2 linked regions of the Struthio camelus genome follow. The protein of the gene in region 2 interacts with the protein of the main gene of each other region in a pairwise test. Links are inferred from orthologs where the notes say so. Each region holds a gene or a part of one and is shown on either strand. Other genes may lie near its edges. The genes, in order: GPN2 and GPN1.

Region 1 (10,651 bases), on a different chromosome or scaffold from region 2:
GTGCAGAAGAGATGTCCACCCCAGGAAAGAAGGCCTACTTAGCCCCAATTTCATTAGCCTTTTCTTGTCCTTTGGCTATCACAAACCATTTACAAGGTTGGGTGTATTTCACTGCCCTTCTCCATCCCTGTGTTCCTCAATATTTAAGCTTCCCATGCCTCATGGCTTTACTTCCTACAACCACATTTTGGGGGCAGAGGCAGTGAGGGGCTTTGGCGTATGACCTTGAAGATGCACCCTTTCTTCCGCCTGTCGGAAGCCCAGACGTAACCTAGCTGCTAACAAATGCGTTGGCTACACGTCCAATGCTCTCTGTTCTCTCTACCCCACTCTTCCTGCTGCATCACCTGGACGTTAAGCGGAACGAAGGACACCAGGCTGTAGTCTTCAATCACCTCCACCAGCTTCTCATTGAGGCGGCGGTAATTTCTGAAGAAGGGGTCGGAAGCTAAATGGTCAACCAAGTAGGAGAGGTCCAGGACCTCTGTGTAATAATCCAGGTTGAAGGCTGCAAGGAAACATCAGCAAAGGACCTTTCAGAACCTGCCTCCAGAGCACAGCACCTCCAGAGTGTGATTCAGATCTCACATGGGCTAAACACACCCCAGAGGTGCCCAACTTTCTGGATGCTCTAGAGCTTAGTATAACCGTGCTCCTAACTTACGATTAGGTGGGCCAGAGCCTTCCCCGCTGCGGGGAAGACACTGCTTCCCAAAGGCTCCATTAACAGCACAAAGCCCTTCCAGGCTCTTCAGCAGGTGGGTTTCAGCAATGGGGATTCTCCCACAGCAACATGCACCTGCTGAAGTGCAAATCGCAGCTTTGCCTTGCACACTCCTGCCAAATTCGGCTCACTTAGTTTAAATTAATATCAAATATGGATGCTAACAGGATCAAAAGCAGACAACAACTGCACCAGGGGAGACTCAGTTACCCCAGCAGCACTGAGGCTGGGCAGAGTGAGAGAGCAGCAGCTGGCGATGGCAAGAAAGAGCAGACTGTGACACACACTGGTCTGATGTGCTCCCACCGGACCCTTTGTCAGTGCTGTTTCTCCTGCTTCCTGAGCAAGTACCTCTGAGGGCACTTTGTGGGTATTGGGGCTTCCCCAGCCAGAACGTGCCACCAAGAAACCAGAAAAATTTAGAACCGTTCCCCGACCATCTCCCAGCAACACACCAGCGCAATGCTGCAGCTGAGCTGCTAGTCTGCCCCTGACCCAGCCCAACTCTACGTCTCTCTCTGGCAAAGACTCTTCTTACCCAGCTTGCCATATTGTTCGATCAGGTCCATCTTGGAGAGGACGTTAACGTGGGGCAGTTCCACGTGCAGCATGGTGGAGAGCGAGGTGCACAGGACAGAGATGAACTTGCCAGGATCCGTGCAGTAGTGAGAATCCACCAAGTGAACTGCTGCCAGCTGGATGGCAGAGGCGCAAGGGGAGAGCACAAGGTCAGACACAGCGAAGAGCCCCTCTACTCACTTTTGGGACGATCAAAGAAGTGGTTACTGAACGGACACGATTATAACCACATAGGTTCCCATATTATGAAAGTTACCTCCTAACTTCTAGCTTGTGTATATGAAACATCCTCATATAAATACACGCTTGTATACGTGTGTGTGTGTGTGTGTGTCTATTTATAGATCGACATTTACACACATAGACCACCCGAGGGATTCAGGGTGCCAGCAAAGAGAAAGACCCATGAGAAGACTTATAGAGGAGTTAAGCTCCACCAGCAGTGCTGACAGACACTTCGACTTGCTACTGCTCTTCTGTTTCTCAGGACTTTTTTCTTTTGCAGCTGAAGCAAGGAAACACGCTTGTCTGAACTCCGCAGATTTTTGGGGGTGGGAGTCTGGGTTAACTCTCATTTTGAATTACAGGACTGCCGTGAGATTCCCACCTTCCCCAAAGGAATGTTCATGCACGGTGTACACTCGGTAGCAGTAACTATAGTACACCATACTCTGCTGGGAGAAACAATTGTCATGTGGTTTGAAATAATAATTAATAATTAAATTAACGAGCAGTTTGATTCCCTGCGTTTCATGCAGCTCTAACAATGTGGCCTAAGATCTCTGTTAAGTTACTGCCTGTTACACAATGTTACTCAAAGTCAGGGCTCTATAGTCAAGTGTGGTTGAGTCACAGCTATGCTTCTGCAGCAGAAAAAGTAAGTGTAAAGCTCATAGGCAGGGGTAAGCACTGTTAGTGCTAAACTGAGCATCAAAAAAGAGCGTAACTATCTTATTTTAGCAACTGCAATTTCATGTACATTTATTTGAATAAAAATCAATTCTAATGTGCAGATTCCCAGTGACATTCTCAAGCAAATGAACCTGCCTTTCTTGCTCACACCATACATGGTGTGCACATTCATGGTTTGGCCCAAATGCAAAACAAATGCAACGTAGGCAAGTTAGCTTGGTGACGGGACTCTTCTCACCTGCATTTCCTAATTTGCATCTTCCATTGTGCAAGAAAGCACACGGCACATATTACAGCGTGCACAGCGATTCGGGTTGGCTGCAGGAGTGGCAGGTAGGGCCTGAGATGATGCTGACTTTCTCACAGTGCAATGCCAAGGATCCTGACTTCCCCAGCACACAAATCTACCTCCCTGCTCCAAAATATAGCCTCAGATAAAACATACAAGTTGCATGCACAGGACCTGAGAGCAAAGCCAGAGTGTGGGAGGAAAGAATCCCTCTTTCTACCCCTGATGATGCCACCGCCAAAGTCCTGAGCAAGGCACTCTTTGCCAATCCCTCCAAGCATAAAATGGGGGCAAAACTCTTCTCCTTCCCTGATAAACCCCTTGAACATGAAAGGACAAAGAGATTAGCAAAGAAAAGAATCATTATTTCCCACATCCACAACCAAAAGCTCCGATCACATGGTGTAAAAATCCTGAGCCCTTTTCACAAGCACACATGGGTCCAGGTGGTGATTCCAGCCACCTGCGAGGCCCCAAACCTACCCTGAAGTTCCACTTGGCCAACTGTGCGAAGACGTTCTTCAGGGCGTTGTGGTGGGTGTAGAGCTCCACCTGTCCCGGACAGTCAAACAAGTAGTAGTGACCCCTGAAGGCAGCCAGCTTCTCCTGCAGCCAGTCGAAGTTGGCCTCCAGGTACTCCATGCAGTAGATCAACCCGCCGTTGGGCCCCAGCTTCAAATTCTCCATCACGTCCGGCAGGGTGATGAGCTCGGAGACATCCACGGCGCACTGGTAGGGCGTCACCTCGTTGGCGGGGTCCAGGTTCACCACGACCACCCGGCGCCCGATCCTGGCCATGAACTCCTGCATGCCGTGGCAGTAGGTCGTCTTCCCCGAGCCCGGAGGCCCAATCACTACCTGCCCGAAGGCCAGGGAGGCCCTTTGGCTGTTTTCAGACATCTTGGCTCATTTCCTTCTCCTCCTGTTGTCTGCAAGAGGAGCAGCTCAGCTTTACCGTTGTATTTGCGTCTATAAGAAGGCGATCCGCTGGGCCCCGAGCTCGGTGGGGAATCGGCCCGCCAGGAGCGGGCGGAGGGGCAGGGAAAGCACCACTGCGTGACCGCGGCCTCCCGCACGGCCACATCGCAGTCAGGACATTGTCCTGCGCCCGCCGTTACCCCCCTCCCGCCCGGCCTCTCCAGCAATGCCGCCGCGGCCGAACGTGGGCGCAAAGCTCCCCGTGAGACCCGTGGGGTGGTCGGTGTCTGGGGGACGCGGGCCCCCGCTCCTGTTTGGGGTGACTTTTGCCCTGGTTGGGTCCTTCCCGATGTGACAACCACTGGCGTGGCCCTTCCCTGGCCACAGCATGTCCCCTCTCCCCTCTTCCACCATGTCCCCAGGCTGTTCCTGCATCCCCTGTGTCCTCTCCCCATGTCCCTTGTTCCCCCCATATCCCTTGTCCTCCCCCCACATCTCTTGTCCCCCAAGCTCCTTGTCCTCCCCCATGTCCCTTGTCCTCTCCCCACGTCCCTTGTCCCCCATGTTCCTTGTCCTCCCCCATGTCCCTTGTCCTCCCCCCATGTCCCTTGTCCCCCATGTTCCTTGTCCTCCCCCATGTCCCTTGTCCTCCTCCCACGTTCCTTGTCCCATGTTCCTTGTCCTCCCCCATGTCCCTTGTCCTCCCCCCATGTCCCTTGTCCCCCATGTTCCTTGTCCTCTCCCATGTCCCTTGTCCTCCTCCCACGTCCCTTGTCCCATGTTCCTTGTCCTCCCCCATGTCCCTTGTCCTCCCCCCACGTCCCTTGTCCCCCATGTTCCTTGTCCTCTCCCCACATCCCTTGTCCTTCTCCATGTCCCTTGTCCCCCCACGTCCCTTGTCCTCCCCCACATCCCTTGTCCTCCCATGTCCCTTGTCCCCATGTCCCTTGTCCCCCCCACGTCCCTTGTCCTCCTCCATGTCCCTTGTCCCCTCCAGTCCCTTGTCCTCCCAAGTCCCTTGTCCCCATGTCTCTTGTCCCATGTCCCTTGCCCTCCTCCATGTCCCTTGTCCTCCCCCCACGTCCCTTGTCCTCCCCCCATGTCCCTTGTCCCCCCCCCACGTCCCCTCTCCACCCCCATCACCACGCTTCCCCCACGTCCCCTCCGCCCCCCGCCGCGCTCCCCGCCGCTCACCCCCCAACGCCGCCGCGCCGGTGCCCCCGGCCGCGGGTCCGGGCTGCCCCGCGCGCCGCGTTCCGCGTTCCGGCCGGCCACACCGCTGCGGCGCCCCCTGGCGGCCGGCGGGACGCGCCGCCGCCGCGGGAGCCGAGGGCGCAGCCGGACGCCGAGCCCCGGCCGACCGCGGGCGGCGGGTTCGCGTCCCGGCCCCGCCTGCGGGTCGCGGCGGCCCTGCCGGCGCTACGGAACAGGGGTTTCCTGCAAAAACCCCCCACTCCAGCGCCCCTCACACGAGGGGTCTGGTACAGCAAGGCTGGATAAGGCAGCTCAGCCGTGCTACCCCTTGCAGGAGGAAAAAAACCCACAGAGGTGACTTTTGTTACAGATCTGTTTCTAAACTATACTATATTCTATGGTAAATGTGTATTAACGGCCTGCTCCAGCCCCAAGAGCAGCAGGAGCAGGCTGCAGGTGACAGGACCAACACAAAGGCTCTGTGACAGCAACCCAGCCGCTGATTTCCTTACCAGCCCTGATAAACCCACTGAAGTCTGAGATTAGAAGCAGGCAGCCCCAGCGAGAGCACGGCGAGGAACACAATATGTGCCACAGCAAGAGTTACAAGCCCCATCAAAGGGAGGTCTCAGCTTGCAGGAGCAGCAGCTGCCCTTGCTGCCAAGGCTAAGTCCTCCTGTCCCTCCGGGCTGCTGACCTGCAACCGAGTTCAGTCATTCATTGCAAAGAAAAGGGAAACTGCTCTCTGTGTCACTCCCACTACGGCTAGAGCTTTAATGAAGGAGTCCGGGGTGTCTGGCCAGCCTAACGTGGCCAGGCCACAGCCTGCAGGCAGGCAGAATGCTAATTCATGTCTAACGCTGCAGTACAGGGTCACAAGGCTGAAGGCTCTCTCCGCAGGAGAGACTGGGGACGCTGCAGCCTGGGAAAGGCTGCCTGTGTCAGGGAAACAGGCAGAACATGGCCCTGCATGTCCAAGAGCCATGGAAGGAAGCACTGCTACGCCCGACCGCAGGGAGACGCCTCCTGCAGAGCTCCTCTGAAAGCTGCCAGGACGTGTCTTTCATCAAGGCAAGTTTCTCCTGTGACTGTGGGATCGTCACGCCCAGGCAACGTGAGGCTGCAGGCCAGCAGCAAGCTGTCTGCAGGACAGTTACTGTGCCACGTTTGGCCTTGTCTGTACTTGTCCTCCCCTGGGTCTCAGGCAGCCATGAACTACGAGCTCCGATCTTCAGGCTGAACTGGCTACAGACCTAGAACACAACCTTGGCTAATCCAGGGAGCAGCCTTCCCCCTAGCATTGGCTTTAAAGCATCAGTCATCTCCCCAACCTCACTGAGCAAATGGGATAAGCAATGTCTCCCCTGGCTTGAAATAGCTCAAGTAAGAAGGAAAAAACCCACAAAAGCAATTTTTGTTACAACTCCATTTCTTCCAAAAATAAATATACTAACAACGCCCTGCTCCAGACCTGAGACCAGCAGGAGCCAGCCTGCGGTAGGAGGGAGGCAGGACCAGTACAAAGGCTCTGTGACAGTCCGTGCTTAGTGCGACAGGGCACTGGGTCTCTCCTGAGCACCATAGGACGCCCGGACAAATGGCATGTCCTGTCTGTACTTCATGGCAGTGGGCGGCTGGCGCCTGAGCAGTAGGTCACCACTGTCCATTGGCTCAGGGTCATCATAGATGGTGGAGATGAGGATGGGACCATCTCGCCGAGGCTTCTTTACCTTGCTGAAGGTCGGCAGTTTCTCCCCATGGTACCTGGAGGGAAGCAGGAAGCACTGGGTCCAGCACTGCTGAGGCAGTGGGAAACCCCTTTATACCCCAGGCCATCTCCTTCACACGCTACAAGGGAGGAGCAGGCCAATACAGGGCAAAAAAATAAATTATTTTCCTATTCCTGGCTGTGCGATGGCTCTAGAACAAAAGCCAGCCCTCACAGCATAATATAGCAATGCATAAAGCCTTTGGAAACCCCACAGAGAAGGTAGAGGGGAGATGCACAGCTCCAGCTCAGGTCACAAGATGACTATGGCAGAAGTGATCACGGCTTCAGATCTGAGCACAGCTCCCATACGGCTCTGCTCTCCTTCCATGCCTGTGTGCTGCACGAACCTGCAATGGGTCCATTCCTCCTCTTCTAATACCACAAGCCCAGGGCATCGCAAGCCCCTTTCAGGGAGAGCTGGACTGTCAGACTATGGGTCAGAAATGCAGCGTACTGTGCTCGAGAGCACTGCGGCAGGCCCTACTGCCTGCTGCACGGGGGAAGGCAGATCCCTGGGGTGGCCTTCCAGTTCTGGTTCACACTCTGCTCCTTTCACTGCCACTTAGCTGCCCTGTCAGTTCAGAGGGAGGCTCTGAACACGCGCCGGCAGGACAGGGTTGGGTACTTACCCCAGCCCCCTCTTGCATCTGGGATTCTGACCCTCGTTGTCCAAAGCTTCGGCCATTCCTGAGTTGCTGCTCCCCAGCCCCAGCCCTTCGGTCCAGCCCTGCTGCTCCAGCACCTTCCTGCCAATGCCCTGGGAGGGGAAAAAGTTGATCCACGTGAGCTTGCTCCAGGGCCAAGGCAGGATGGGTGCGGTTACGATCCAGGGTGACCTCGGGAGTTTGGTTCAAGGCTTCTGCAGAGATGCTGGACAAAGCCACCTCCTCACCCGCCCAGAACCCTCCTCCCCTACCACATGCCTAAGCTCTTTGCTCCCCCAAGACCCACATCCTTTAAGCATCACCACCACAGCCTTTCCTGGCCTGCCTCATCCACTCCAGAGTGCATAGCCAAAGCTCACCTTGGTGTATTTCTCAAAGGTCCCAATCTGTTGCCCTGAAACAGACCCATCCTCCAAGCCATCCCGGAGTCTCTGCTCCAGCCACATCTGGACCGAGTCCCGAGCATCCTTATCTCCTCCATCTAGGAAGAAAGAAGCAAGGATCAGAGCAGCACAGCTCAGGAAAGCCTTTCACCACTCTGATTTCCCCCAGAGCACCAAGCAGCAAGGAGGCAGAACCTGTTCCCCTTGGCAACTCTCGCTGCCAAACCAAAAAAAATGCTGTTTCAACTACTCTGACATCTTGGACACTTTCAAAGGATGACAGAGCCAAAGAGTCCCCCCACTGCAGAAATTCTGCAAGCTCAAGACTACCCTCTCTCTACCGCTTCCTAGGAGGGTTTTCAGCTCAGATACCTTTGTCATAGTAGATGCTCATGTCCACATCCCAATCGTCCGCAGTCTGCTCATCGAAGTCTGCCAAGAGAAAGAAACCATCAGTTTTGGTGGTGATGACTGTGAAAGCCTGACACAGAAGACTTGTCTGACAGCTGGAGAGCCCCCCATTTTCTCTAGCGAAATGAAAAGGAAAGGGTAGCTGGGATGCCACAAGCCACACTGCCTACAGAGAAGGCTGCCAGTAGGACCAGAGAGGGATCTCTGGCCGTTGGATTGAATGACTACAGGCTTTGTGAGAAAGGGAAAGTTTAACATGTGATGGCAAGATGCCTGCATCTGTAGCTGAACAGGAATAATTGTACAGGGTTGTACCTGATTTATCAGCTACTGCAGGACTTGGCCTCCAAGACCCCAGACAGTGGTGGTTAGTTTGCGGCTCAGTCTTGAGACACAAACGCTAACAACATTACCTCCGTTCTCCTCCTGCCAGTACTGAGCATCCGTGTAGAAGACCAGCCCAGAGCCACCTTTCTCCCACTTCAGCTCAATCTCCTCTTCAAAGAGCCGCTCCTCCATGCGGTCTTGCTTGGTCACGTCCTCATGCAAAGCCTCATGTCGCTCCCACTCCTCACAGGTATCGTTGTCCTGCAAAGGAAGCAGTGAAAGGTGAGCAATAGTGACAGCACACGGCCCAGCCTCCTCCCCATTTCCCTGACCCTCACGGTCCATTGCAATGCCTTCGCTGTGAAACAGCTTCGTCAACAGAGCTCGTTCCAGCCTGCTGTTTTCAGGCACTAACATGACTCGCACTGATGACTTCATTCCCCTGACTAATGCCATCTTCAGAGTCAGCAGACAAAAGTGATGAAAATACCACATCACACCCACTTCACAGCAGCCTTTCAGCAACATAGCCAATCCGTAACACAAAGATGCCCATTTAAGGAGCAGGCCTGTCGTACGTAAAGTCAGCGCTAGCGACAAATTAATTCCAGTCAAGTTGATCCTTAAGAGAGATTGTATCATTTCAAGAGAAGAAGCTTGCTGGCAGAGCCATAGATCAAACTGACAGCTTTGCTGCTGGCTGCCCAGTTTGGGCACAGCCCTTCATGAAGACATCAACCAACTAAAGAACAGCCAAAAGAATGATTAGAGATCCAGGAAACAGAGCCTGTGAGAAAAGGCTAGAGGAGTCAAGTTGTTTAGTCTGGAAGAGAAAAGACTGAAGGCAGCTGTTGAATAAGAAGTTTGTAAAGACGGGAACAAAGTGTTCTCGGTGTCTGCTGTTGCTAGGATAACCTAATGGAATAAAATTGCAGCAAAGAAGATTTGGCGTACAAGTTTATTCTGGTGTATAATGGCGAGAACAGCTGAGAACGGGAATGGCTTGCCTGGGGATTGTACTACCCCTCTAATGACAGAGGTTTATGAGAACAGACTAGACAAGCGTCTGTCACGTGGGGGCGAGTGAGATAGTCTGTGGGGAACCTGTCCAGCCCAGTTGTCTAGGAGTCTTTGTCAGGAAAATCATTCTTCTCGGGACATGGAATGAATAACTTTAAGCACAAGGGCATCCAAGGTCAAGCATTTGTACAGCTTCACATGTCATTTTGAAAACACTAATGCGCTTCTAAATCTCCAGCCACATCATTTATAAGCAACAGCAGAGCCAGGACAGTCCGCCAAGTGGCGGGGCGGAGACCTCCACCTGGAGCACTAGCCTCAGCCTGTGCTTGTTCTTTTGGGCCAAGCCCTTTGAGCTGAACAGTTTTATCTCCCTAAAACTGGCCTAATTTGGACAACCAGCTTCAGAGACGCTAATGTCAACACCACCACGTGCACCAAGGGTCTTGGTGCACCACAATTTGAACAACTTTGTTCTAACACCATTTTCAGACAAATGATCTACCCAATACAATTAAGAAATGAAAAATAAGCTCTGAGAGAGTTATATTGACCCTCCCAGCTTTGCAGTCATAACGATTAACCTTAGATGTTAACAGGAGAAATCCACTTACATCATCTGAGTGCGACTCTTCCGCTTCCTCCTTCTCCAGTCCCGCCCCATCTTCCTCAGCACTGACTGAATTGGACATCTCAGACCTTGCCACAGGCCCCTCGTCCTCTGTGATCTCGTCCCCTGCTGCAGTATAAACTCCTTCTTCTCCTGTAACTGTCTCAGTGTCCTGGTATTCAAAAGGCACATTCCCATACCTACGGGATGAGCCCGTCTTGGGAAAATCCAGCTGCAATTTCTTGATAATCCGGGGAGGCAGCCTGCAGGCCCGGATCAACTCCAGAAAAACTTTCAAAGGTGTTCCCACGTTCCCATGAGGCATGAACGCAGGCGGGTTTAACTCCGGCAGCCGCTTCAAATCCGCCTCAGCGACAGAATCGCTCGCAGCCATCTTGTCACCTCTGTAGGGAAATGTCTCTGCACCTGGAGGAGAGGGAGGCAAGGATTTCAGGGGAGGGAGAAAACACACACTCGGGCACACCACCAGAGAGGGGATAAATCAGGCGCCCTCCCACATAGGCACCGGCCTCAAGCATTTTATAGACGGAGAAGATGAACGGAGCCAGAACCGACTCCTCCAACCCCACAGTGGATTTAAGGCAGGGAGAAAACTCCGTGAGGGGTTTTAACCATCCAGTGGACAGCAGCATAGGCTGGCTGCTGGGGCCGGGGGTTCCTTCGGGCCCGTTTGGCACCGGATCCCCCTCCCCAGGCCCGTGCGGGGAGGCGAGGCCTAGCTCAGGCCCCTCGGAAAGGCCCGGCCGTACCTGTACCGGGGCTGAGGCGGACCCTGCGGACGAGGCAGCGGCCGGGCAGCCAGGCCCCGCCAGGCCCGAGCCAGCGGC
Region 2 (10,769 bases):
ACTGATGGAAAAGAGGAAGCCTGGAAACACATGGTAAAAGATATTTTAGTTAGAAGTAGAGGCTATTCAATCGCCACTTTGTTCACACAACCTTGCTGTCAAGTCCTGTAGAATATACTTACCAGTGCCTCAGTTATGATGGTTCCTGATGCTGACCAGGTGAATACCTCTATTTGTCCTGGTGTGTCAATGATAACATACCTGTTAAGAAATCATCCCCAACAAACAAAAAAAAAGAGGGGAGGAAACTAGTCAAGTACAAGGTGCTGGTGAGATCAGATTACCAGAGGCGTGGGAACGGCAGATCACATGACTATTTTGTTACGGATCAGGTAAGTTTCTCCCAAAGACTGACAAGATTTAAGGACAGGCCTGAAAATTTCCTTGTGCACCATGTAACTAAGAGGCACTTATTAATCTCTTCAGATACTATTAAAATCAAAAGCATGAATGTGACGGATACTTAACATTGTTAACTCCTCAGAACGAGAATTAACTGTTGCATATTTGAACAGTGAAGGAGGAAAATGAAGGTCTAATGGAAGACAAAAAAAGGCAGAACTGGCACCGGTAGATATTTCTTTCTTCAACTTACATGTATCAGGTAAGAGTCTAGTTTATCTTTTCTAATTCTATGTCCTTTTTCAGATAAAATTTAAACTGAAACAAAAAGAAAAACAACTAGAAAACATGCAAAGATCCTTTTTAGGGTCTCGCATGGTTTTCCCACAGTGATTCCAAAACAGTAAGACTTCATAGAGCATACTCACTTGGATGCATTTTGTCTTTTTTCAATAAACTTCATGACCTGATTGAAAAGAAAAAGTAGCAGTTTATCTTGCACTTAGGCTCAAAACAAGAAGCTTTTAGAATTGTTCTGTATATAGAAACTATACCAGCTTAAACACGCACAGCTACATGTGCAAATCAAAGCTCTTAAGCTTTTCAACGTGTGGAAATGCCCTACTAAGGAAGGGTGGAAAATGCTCAGACACTGCATGTGCCACAACAACTTTAACTTTGCCCACATTCTAGTACCTGGCTAAAGAATCTGTATAATAAAGGCAGTTGTTCCCTACCTTTTTACTAAGGGATTGTGCAGTGCTTCAATGTCGTGTGTAAGGTTCCCAGCATTGGGATTAAGATTCAAGAGAGCAGTCAGGTTTCTCTAGTGACACTGGATAACTGACTGATCTCCAGAAGTCAGCTTCCCTACTCCAGAATCAGAGCATTCATAAAAAAGATGAAAATCTTGCAGGGAACATAGTGTAACAGAATAGTTTTGTACAAAGACTAAAGTATCAATGTTCTGTACATATGGCTTCTAAGTTTTACCCCCACAAAAAAGGTGGAAAACTGCTCTCTCTCTCAAATTGAGAGCTAATGTAGTTCAGCTACTTTACAGGATACATGGTCCAGCAGGGAGAATAACTCAGAAGAAAAATTAACTGGCTGAATCAAACAATGTTCTCTGAAACTACAGATCGAGAAATAAATAACAGTCTCCCACAAACACGTAGCACAGTATCACACGGAAACAACCTCGTACCTGATCAAATCTTGTAGCAAAGAGATTGAGAGAGGTCACTATTCCACCATTTGGGCCCAGCCCATATCTGGATACTTTATTTAGGAAAGCCTATAATTACACAGACCTCAGAGTGCTTCCTTCTCAAATCTGATAATAGGGGGTCATTTACAATGCACATTGGGCACCTTGCAGCAAAAGACAACGTCAGTAACTCTAAAGGGCACATATTTAAGTTTCCTAAGTGATGCAGTAACATAACAAATACAAAGCAGTCTGTCTCTTGCACAAACACATGGATGATTGACAAAAAGGAAAAGGGGCTACACCATGGCCTTCCCTTGATCATCATTCAAGCATTACAGTTTTTTCCTCTTTGTCCAAAATGATCAAAGCAATCTTCATCAAATTCTGAGTTACTGGCTGCGGTGTTATAAATCTTTTCGGAAAGATAATGTCCTGAATACACTGAAACTTTAAGAATGCATATTTCAAAACATAATTAAAGAATTTCTTGCACAAATTAGTTTTTAGGTAAATGTAAAGGGAAAGAATGGGAATGAGCTTCGTAAAAACACTCAGCTTATCAAAGACAGCTTAAAGATGAAGATGTTAAAATGCTTTGCACACATACGGATCTATGTGCAATGAAGGAAAGAATCTTTTATTACATTAAATATTTTATTTACTGCACAAGAACCAGCACTGATTCATCAGTACAGGCAGTCTTCCAGCGCCACTGCTCTCAATGTCCAAACAAGCTGCCCAACACTCTCCTTAAGCACTATTTAATGAGATGGTTAAACTCCAGTAATGGCTAACAACAGACACAGTAGAGCAAATAACGCATCTGTGTACCAAATTTAAACTTATACTCAGATGGTTTTTGTTAGTAAATCCTAATCAAACACCAGCAAAAGTCAGAATCCTAACCCCCACCATCATTCTTCTTTTCTAAAATATTTTAATTAAGAGTTTCACTCGTATGCCAAATCTAAACCCTGCACAGCATCTCCATCTGCAAAAGCCATTACTTAGGAGGTCAAAGGACTTCCATATCCCACTGGGGGTGCAGTCATTTTAGTGTCATGTCACTGAACTACAGTCAAACTATTGTGTAGCAAGAGCAAATGGTCCAATGTCTTAAGAGATTCAGAAAGACAACAGGGCTTTATGTTCAAATCATGTGGAAAGCTGCCTAGATAGAGAGAGAGAGAAAGAAGAAAAGTTTTCCCCACCTACTAAAGGCAAGCAGGAATTTGGATATGCTTATAACAAACAAAAACAGGGTTATACATGCATGGGAAAAAGGCTGTTGGCTTTCACAATGAAAGACACAAGCTGGTCTAAAGAACAGAAAAGAGAGGTGGACAGAGTGCTTCTTATTTGTGAAAAGGTATTCCTAGGCTGAATCACTGTTAGCACAGGAGAAGGGAACGACCTAAGGAGTATCAGATCTTGTTCAAAATGCATTTCTAATCTTCAATGTAAGAAATACCCAGTCAAAAACTTCTGGTCTTTGCACAACGTTCTGAGTTACTCCAATCCCCAATACACACCCCTCTCTTCATTCTAAAGGGCAGAAGAGATGGCCAACTTTCACGTATTTGGAAATTTTACAGATCATTGTAAGAGGAAAAAAGGATACTGTTTCATGACTTCCTTGTACTTCACTGTGTCCCGGATATCTGGAGGGAGAAGAAGTATAAATAGTTTTAAGACATTACTTCAAAAATAGCTTTGTTTATCAACATGCTGATAAGAGAAAGCCTTTCCTTGTCCAGCAGCTCTCCTTTTGCCTCAATAATAAATCTAGCAACAACAGAAGACTCACAGATAGAATACATAAAATATAATGGATTTGCTATGCTGTCGACATACCTATAAAACCCAAGGTAATTCATGTGAAATATCTCCAGTGTAAGTACTTAGCTGTAACTGCTTACATTGAATTTTCTTCTCAGTTGGCCAACATCAGTTAACAAAGTACAAGTATTTAACTGCATTATGAGAGATCTGGCATTAGAATGCTTTCTCCAGTTCTTCATTTGACACCAGTAAAAATACTTCAGTATCCACACCACCTTTATTATTGCCCAGAGAACCAGGCTGATGAGCTCTAGAAAGTATAAAAGATAGGACCACCACAAATCCAAGGAACAGTAAGCCCTTAGGCATGACAAGCCTTTAGGAATGAGCGGACACAAGGTCTGTTTTATTATTAAGATCTTTTCCTTAAAATTAACGTATTTTAAAGTGTTTGAAAAAAGTTGAAAAGGAGAGGAAAGACCTGGAGGGTCTGAACAGGTCAAACCTGTTACCATGTTCAGCACTGATAAAGGGAAACAAACAAACAAACAAACAAAAACAACAGAAACCAAACAGAGCATCATCAAATCACACAAGGCAATGCAAAAAGGTACAAACAAGATGGTAAGATAGCACTGGTCTCAAGAAATACATGACTAAGAAAAAAGTTTGTTAGGAGAAAAGAATCAAAAGTCAAGAAAAAAAATATTACACGGAGGCCCTTCTCATGCTAGCATTTGCCATCTTTTTAAAGGAGCATAAACAACCTAGCCAAACGCCTTACAAAGCACGGCCCGCATTTCCGTGAAACGCGGGAAAACCAGTACACCACAAACGCTTTAACCTATGGAAAAACGGGCTTGCTCCGCTCTGGCGGACCCCTGAGGCGAGCCCCCCGGCTGCCCCGCGCCGCAGGCCTCACCGATGTTGGCGGGGAAGGGCAGGTCGTGCACGGCCGGGTCCAGGTTGATGACGTACGGCGGGCAGCGCTGGCCGTGCAGGTGGGCCGCGAGGCGCTGCGGGGACACGAGCAGACGTCAGGCCGGGCGGGGGGCGGAGAACGGCCCCGGCCCGGCCCCTGCCGCTCACCTGCACGAAGGTGGTTTTCCCGCAGCCGGCCATGCCCAGCACCAGCACGCACACCGCAGGCGCCGCCGCCGCCGCCGCCTCGCTCGCCGCCGCCATCTTCCCAGTGTCCACTTGTCCTTCCGGGGCGCGGGGGAGGCGGGGGCAGGACGCCGGCAGGGCAGGACGCCGGCAGGGCAGGCCCCGCCGCGCCGCACCGTCCCGCTCCGCCGCCCCGCCGCCGGGCGGGCGCCCCGCACCGAGCCGTCCGCCCGGGCCCCGCTAGCCGCCGCGAGGAGGCGCCCGGAAGCGACCGGGCGGGCGGGAGTTTCCGCCCGGTGCGTGCTGACGTGGCGGCACCATGCGGGGCGGCGGCGGCGGCTCGGTGAGTGCCCGCGGCCTTCGCCGTCGGCTGCTGCCCCGGGCGGGCCATGGGCCCGACGCCGGTCCCGGGCGGGGAGGGGGGGGGGAGGGCGCACAGGGCCGGAAGCCGCCGCGAGATGGGTTCCGCCATCAGCACGGCGGCACCGGGGCGGCCGCGGCGGGGCGGGACCGCCGCCTCGCCCCGAGGGTCCTTCCGGGCCGCGGGCTGGGGACGGCGCGGCGAGCGGGCCCAGCCCGAGGCCGGGCCCCCGCTTATCACCGCCCGCCGGCTGGTCCTCGCGCCGGGACTGCGGCGTGCCCGCAGAGCCGCCGCCGCCGCGGTAGCGCCGGGTTTCCGCTTCGAGCCCGGGCGCCGGCCCGGCAGGCGCCGGCGGCCGTGGGGAGGGGCCCGGAGCGGGGTGCCGCCGGCTCCCGCCCCGGCGGGGCTATCCGTTTTGTCCTAGGAGGTCTTTATTTCAGGAAACGTCAGTCCGTGAAGCACGCAGGGAGCAATGAACGTGTGGGCTTAGAGCACGCAGTTGCCCAGAAGGGGCTGAGCCAGTCCTGCGTGCCCGGGGTTTACCTGGCGGGGTGGGACAGGCACAGCAGCCTGGAGTGCTTGATGCCTCCGCTGACGCCTCTTCTCCGCAGCTGTAGGTCTAGTTCAACTCCTCCAGCGGAGTTTCTGTCCTCTGTTTAAACACCATTTTTCAGACTAGGGCTTATGCGTGGTGGTGGAGCAGCCTGTCCCCAGCAGAAGGCCACGTTCCAGAGCCTGGAACGTCCTCCAAATCCTTGGATTTGGAGTAGCAGGAGTAGCACACCTGGGAAAGAAGTCCCTTCTTCATCCTTTCAGGTTGTAAGGTGCTACTTCTATTTGCCGTGTGTCCAGCCCTTGGCATTCCTGCATACTCTTGTCCTCAGTGTTTTCCCAGTGTTTTCCCAGTGATTTCTAAGTGGGAAATACATTGTATAAATAAGAAACACCCAACGCTTTAAATGTCAGCTTCTCTAGATGTTTTCTTCGTTCTTGCTGCTATCAGCCTCTCGGAAAGTAAGGCAAAACAGATCAGAGAGCTCCTTTTTGTTGCAGACCCTTAACTCTCACTCAAATTCTTCATGCTAATTCTCCAGTTTTATACAAAATCTTGCAGTCCTAAAAAATCTTAAAACATGTGCCATGTTTGTCAGTAGTTCAAGTTCTTCCAACGGGGAATTAGGCCAGCTGATCACAGTAGGCTATGCATATTCTTTTCTTTTTCTCATTGCAACTTCACAGGCCTAATCTTTTCCAGCGTCTCATCACGCTGCAGTTCCTCCAGGTTTCTGATGTAGGGGTCCCCAGACGTTGCTGTTAGTACTGCTCGTGGCGTGTGAGCCACGACAAAGTAATACAAACATTCAGTTCACTTTTCTTCCAAAGACGACAAGTGATTGTCAGAGTATTGGTCAAGCAGTTGTTAACGTATTTCCAGCTACTTTGTTAACCTCTCCACGAGAGCAGGCGCTAGAGGTAGAGGCCCAAGGAAAGTTTGACGGTCCCCGACTGCAGTTTAAGAATTCATATAGTTGATGTCCACGCTTGTTTCTGAGTCTCTTCCCTGGTGTGTACCTGGGGTTAGAAGTCTCTCGCTGATTGTCTTCCTAGGAAGAGTGACCTACTAGGTTATAGCAAGACTGTATTTTTATACGTGTGTATGTGTAGGTACATGCATGCACATATAGTAAAACTAACTTTACTGATCTTTTTTTTGCCACAATATAAGCAGAGGTTTAATTGAACTGCTCATCGTGATATCCAAATCTTTTTCAGTTGTTTATATATGTTCCTAAGCATAAATTAGAAGGTAGGAGCGTATAAGACAGATTCAAGTTAATCTTTCCAATGTGCAGTTGCATGTATTTTTTTAGTGATGAATTTCACTTGTCTTGAAGCTGCCTATTCCCTAGTCTCTTAGTACAGCGTCTGAAATTTCTCAGCATCTGCTTCTGACAAGTTATTACATTTTTATGACCTCTTCAAATTCTTTCACATACCTGTTCACTGTTTTCCCCAGATAATTTCTAATATTTATTTCTAATAACTAAGCACTTTATAGCATGGGTCCAGTTGACTCGTGTGTTACATTTTTCTATAAAGAAGATAGGTCGTTTGGGCATATTCCTTGTTTTCAGTCCCTTAGCCAGTTCTTATATGTGGCAATTTTATCTCTGTTTCTAGCTCACAGTTTTTTCTGTGTCATACTTTTACTGTGCATTGATTTTGTTTTCTGGTCAGTATAACCAAAATCTGTGTCCTGGGTTTCCCAATGAGGCATGAGATTGAGTCATTTAGTATTTGGAAGAAGGTAATAAATGATTCTCCACATGCCAAGAGAATGTCCTTTATATTGATTTAGGGTTGTCAATGGTATCTGTTGCATTACATGTCTTAATAAAAATACAAGAAGTAGAGAGCAATAAATGAGAAAAATCCTTTATTAAATAAGAAGAAAGATTTCGAGACGTGGATAAAGTAAACATTCAGTCAACTGATGGAGTATGACAAAGTAATGGAGATAAAACATGAAAAGAAAACTTAGAGGAGGCTAGAGCCAACATTCTTGACATGGAAAAAGCAAGACTAATTTCATTAAGGAAAGAAGAAGTACTATGGAAAAACTAGTAGGTTAGAATCTAAAATACTTTTCATCATGTGCTAAAGTCTAGGCAGAAAGCAGGTACCACTGAGTGAGTTGGAGACAAAGCATCTTCCATCATGCTATAGTGCAAGGGGAGAGATTGAATTTCATACGGGGAGAGGATTGGGGAGGGCCTTGTCCCTGTTTTGATTCCTGTTCTAATTCAACAGGAGTTGAAAGGGGTAAACGCTTCCTTGTTGCAGAAGACAGTGCTTTCCCTTTCAAAGCAATGGTACACAGCTCCTCAAAGTGCAGTTTATTGTGTTGAACTGAAAAATGAAACATGCAAGAAGAAAAAAAAATTATACTGCTAATCTGAATTGTTCTACTTTGTTAGGATGCCAGGCCTGAACATCACAGACAACAGAAGGTCAAGAGATCTCTGGGAAACAAAAAGTATGTGAACATTTCTTGTCAAGTTTGACTGAGGGCAAGGAAAAAGCTGAGCGATTCCTATTGGGAAGCTGTGTCTGATATTTTCAATAATAGCCTCAACAAAAAGAGCTGCAACCATTTTGATTTGTTTGATGAGAATCTCAATTGAGTTTGCTTATTAGCTCATTGGAAAAGCACTTTTCTGACACTTCAACTGGTATAAGCTTTCATTTTTGTTTTTTAAAAGGATTTTAACACTGGGAAGATAGAAATTATAGCTTGAAGAGCTAAATGGTGTTCCCAAATCCATGCATTTTGAGCATGAGAAATACTAATTCAAAGGTTTCAATCTGAGAATTCCTCTCAACAGCCTTCTACACTCCTCAAACATAGTGTGTGCTATCCCACCTGGTACAATCTGTCCCTGACTTCTTAACTTCTGTACCAAAGTGTTAAGGCATGAGCTCCACAGCTGGGGGTGTAGGAGAGTATTTCTGGGATGGCCATCACAGCTGTCATTCAAAAGATCTACTTGTTTCCCTTTGTGGATTCTGGCAGTAACAGGCTATGTTGATAATTGTTTTCCTTCTGCTCCTCTTACATTAATGGTATTTGCTCAGAGAATATGTACTCAGCGTCTTTTAGCAGCTTAATCGTTGCTGTCATGTACGGTAGTGTAAATGTCTGGGCATTTCAGGGCTGTGAGAAGTATTTGAGAAGAGTGCAGCAAAGTTCCATCTGATCTCTAGAGATAAAATCAGTGTTGCTGACTTCACATTCTAAATTAGTCTTAATATAATGTGATTCATAGGATATATCTTCAGGCTTTTATTGTTGAAGGCCTTGCCGGTTAAAGTTCTTCCTGGTGTTAAGTCTTTAATTTGTGTAATGTCAGCTCTCGTTCTGGGAATGCATACTGAAGGGGATCTTGCCCTTCATGAGAAGGAAAAGATTGGAAGAAGAGTCCTTATATTCCACACTGACAGCTTAAGGATAAATGTTTATTTTTAAACTGAGATGAACTTGCACCTGCTCCTTACTGTTGAAGGGTTGAGGTAGGATGAATTTTTTTTCTGCTGCTTTTGAGTAGCTCTCTAATGTCATTTTCTAAAAGAAGCAGTGAAAAATAATGTTTAGGATGTTTTACCTTGCTGGCACTTCTTTCACAAACCTCAGGAGAGTCAATGAACTGTGAGATGAATTTCTAGAGTGCTTGGGAAGATGAAAGGGATGTTGTCTATCAAGTCACTGTGGTTTTGTTTGTTTACGTACATACGTATATATGATTTCAAGTTGATGTATTCCAGATCTAAGCAATTTGAGGAGCTGGAAACTACTGTCCTAGGACTGAACAGTAACTATGATGAGACAGTCAGCAACGTTTCTTCTGCCTCATCCAAGAGTCGAGTGAACGGGAGTGCAGAGTCAAGAAGCAAGAGGACAATTCGCAGGCCTGCTTACTGGTTGGAAATGAGAGGAATAAAAACCAGCATTAACAAAACTTCAGGAAAAAAAGGTACTCATCACTCTTGGCTCTATATAAAACTATTTTTCTCTCCAATTCTTTTGTGAGAGATTGGATGAGTTTTGAAAGACTTGCTGAAGTTCAGCCACAAATTCCAAACTTGGTAATGATGTTTGTGTATTAGGAGAGAGAAACTTTTACTACTTCAGAATCTTAGGTAAAAATCTCTGCCTTGTGAGAGCAGGTCTGCATAACCTGCATAGTGTTATGAGTGACTTGCCTATTAAAATTAATGATTCTATGGCTGAACTCGGCTTTGTCTATAGAAGAAGTACGTCTAAGGGTTTTGCCAGCTGTTTCAGGAAAATGCTTTGACAGCTTTAAGAACAGAACAAAGCAACACTAAAAATGTACAAAAGTGGACCATGCAGCAGTATTCTGGATTAGACACAGCTTTTCTAGTTGTTAGACTTTTTTGTGGATTTTTAAAAATGTTTTAATTTTCTCATGATTTTCTGATTTAGAGTGGTTTGGAGGTCAAGATTATCTCTTACTTTGCTATAGTAAAGCAGGGACGTTCAGGTTTTCTGGTCTTAGGAGTTGTTTTCCAAACTTTTCATGTGGCTGAGAGCCAAAATGTCAGTCTTATTGCTCTTTCTTCATCTCCTGGATCTCTCTTCCCTCCTTGCTCTCTTACTGAGTATTACTGTTTTCCTAAACTGTGCTACGGTACTGTTTCTTCCATGTCTTCTTTGTCGGGAGATTGCAGGCTGTGGATTTTTTCCTCTAAAGAACATGGAGTGCCTTAGAGTTACTGACTCAGTAGCTTATGTCTGTCTCACTGGTGTCTAGATGATGCACAAAAAGCAACTTTTTTCTTTAGAAGTATTGACTATGAAGAGAAACTGAGACAGCAGACAGACACAAAGCTGTTGACAGACTAAGTATTTCCATTCTTTCTTGTTAGCAGGAGAAGTACTATTGAAAGGCAAGAGGAAATCTGAGCAAGGGGAAGATGAAGATCTTAAAGACTCCCCCAAGAAGAAGCAAAAGATTTCTGGTAATATAAACAACCTGTAATTTCTAGTTACAAGCCTCCAGGTGCTTTTGGCTTCCTATCTGCCTAAATGCTATCCTCTGCTGTCCCCCCATCTCTATTTCTGATTCTGTGAATCTTGCTATATGATACTGCTGCCTAGCTTCTATTTTACATTGGGAGAGGATTGTTCTAATTTCTGTCTCTCTTGAAGTCCAAGCCTATTTTCAACAGTGGAAAAAAAAGGAGTGTAGGGGAAGTATAGGCTAGACAGCTTCATTTTAATTTCCTCCAAATTATTGGACCAAATAATCAGGCAAACTACTTGTAAGCATCTGGAGGTTAATGAGGAGATGATAACAGCAATATGGGTTTTTTAAGAACAAATCACGCTCAACCAGTCAACTTTCCTTCTACCACAAAACTGGAGAGGGAGAAACATTTGCT

The links.
Region 1: the proteins of GPN1 (region 2) and GPN2 interact in binary tests that used the Homo sapiens proteins (3 or more experiments, as listed by UniProt). The link is inferred for Struthio camelus from reciprocal best matches to the Homo sapiens genes GPN1 and GPN2.

What each region holds. Positions count from the first base shown.
Region 1 is NC_090964.1:6,815,948-6,826,598, reverse strand, and holds the start of GPN2 (GPN-loop GTPase 2), read right to left. Parts: upstream 4,707-10,651; 5' UTR 4,617-4,706; intron 3,872-4,616; exon of another isoform or gene 3,692-3,871; intron 3,434-3,691; 5' UTR 3,405-3,433; coding exon 2,988-3,404; intron 1,420-2,987; coding exon 1,263-1,419; intron 803-1,262; coding exon 665-802; intron 509-664; coding exon 348-508; intron 1-347. Other genes in the region: GPATCH3 (G patch domain-containing protein 3), read right to left, coding at 6,161-6,380, 7,017-7,144, 7,412-7,533, 7,808-7,867, 8,260-8,434, 9,808-10,229, 10,574-10,651. UniProt on the Homo sapiens protein: Small GTPase required for proper localization of RNA polymerase II and III (RNAPII and RNAPIII). May act at an RNAP assembly step prior to nuclear import.
Region 2 is NC_090944.1:468,403-479,171, forward strand, and holds the start of GPN1 (GPN-loop GTPase 1), read right to left. Parts: upstream 4,576-10,769; 5' UTR 4,523-4,575; coding exon 4,427-4,522; intron 4,354-4,426; coding exon 4,260-4,353; intron 3,217-4,259; coding exon 3,177-3,216; intron 1,617-3,176; coding exon 1,550-1,616; intron 809-1,549; coding exon 771-808; intron 202-770; coding exon 123-201; intron 21-122; coding exon 1-20. Other genes in the region: ZNF512 (zinc finger protein 512), read left to right, coding at 5,490-5,621, 7,784-7,842, 9,129-9,337, 10,254-10,346. UniProt on the Homo sapiens protein: Small GTPase required for proper nuclear import of RNA polymerase II (RNAPII). May act at an RNAP assembly step prior to nuclear import.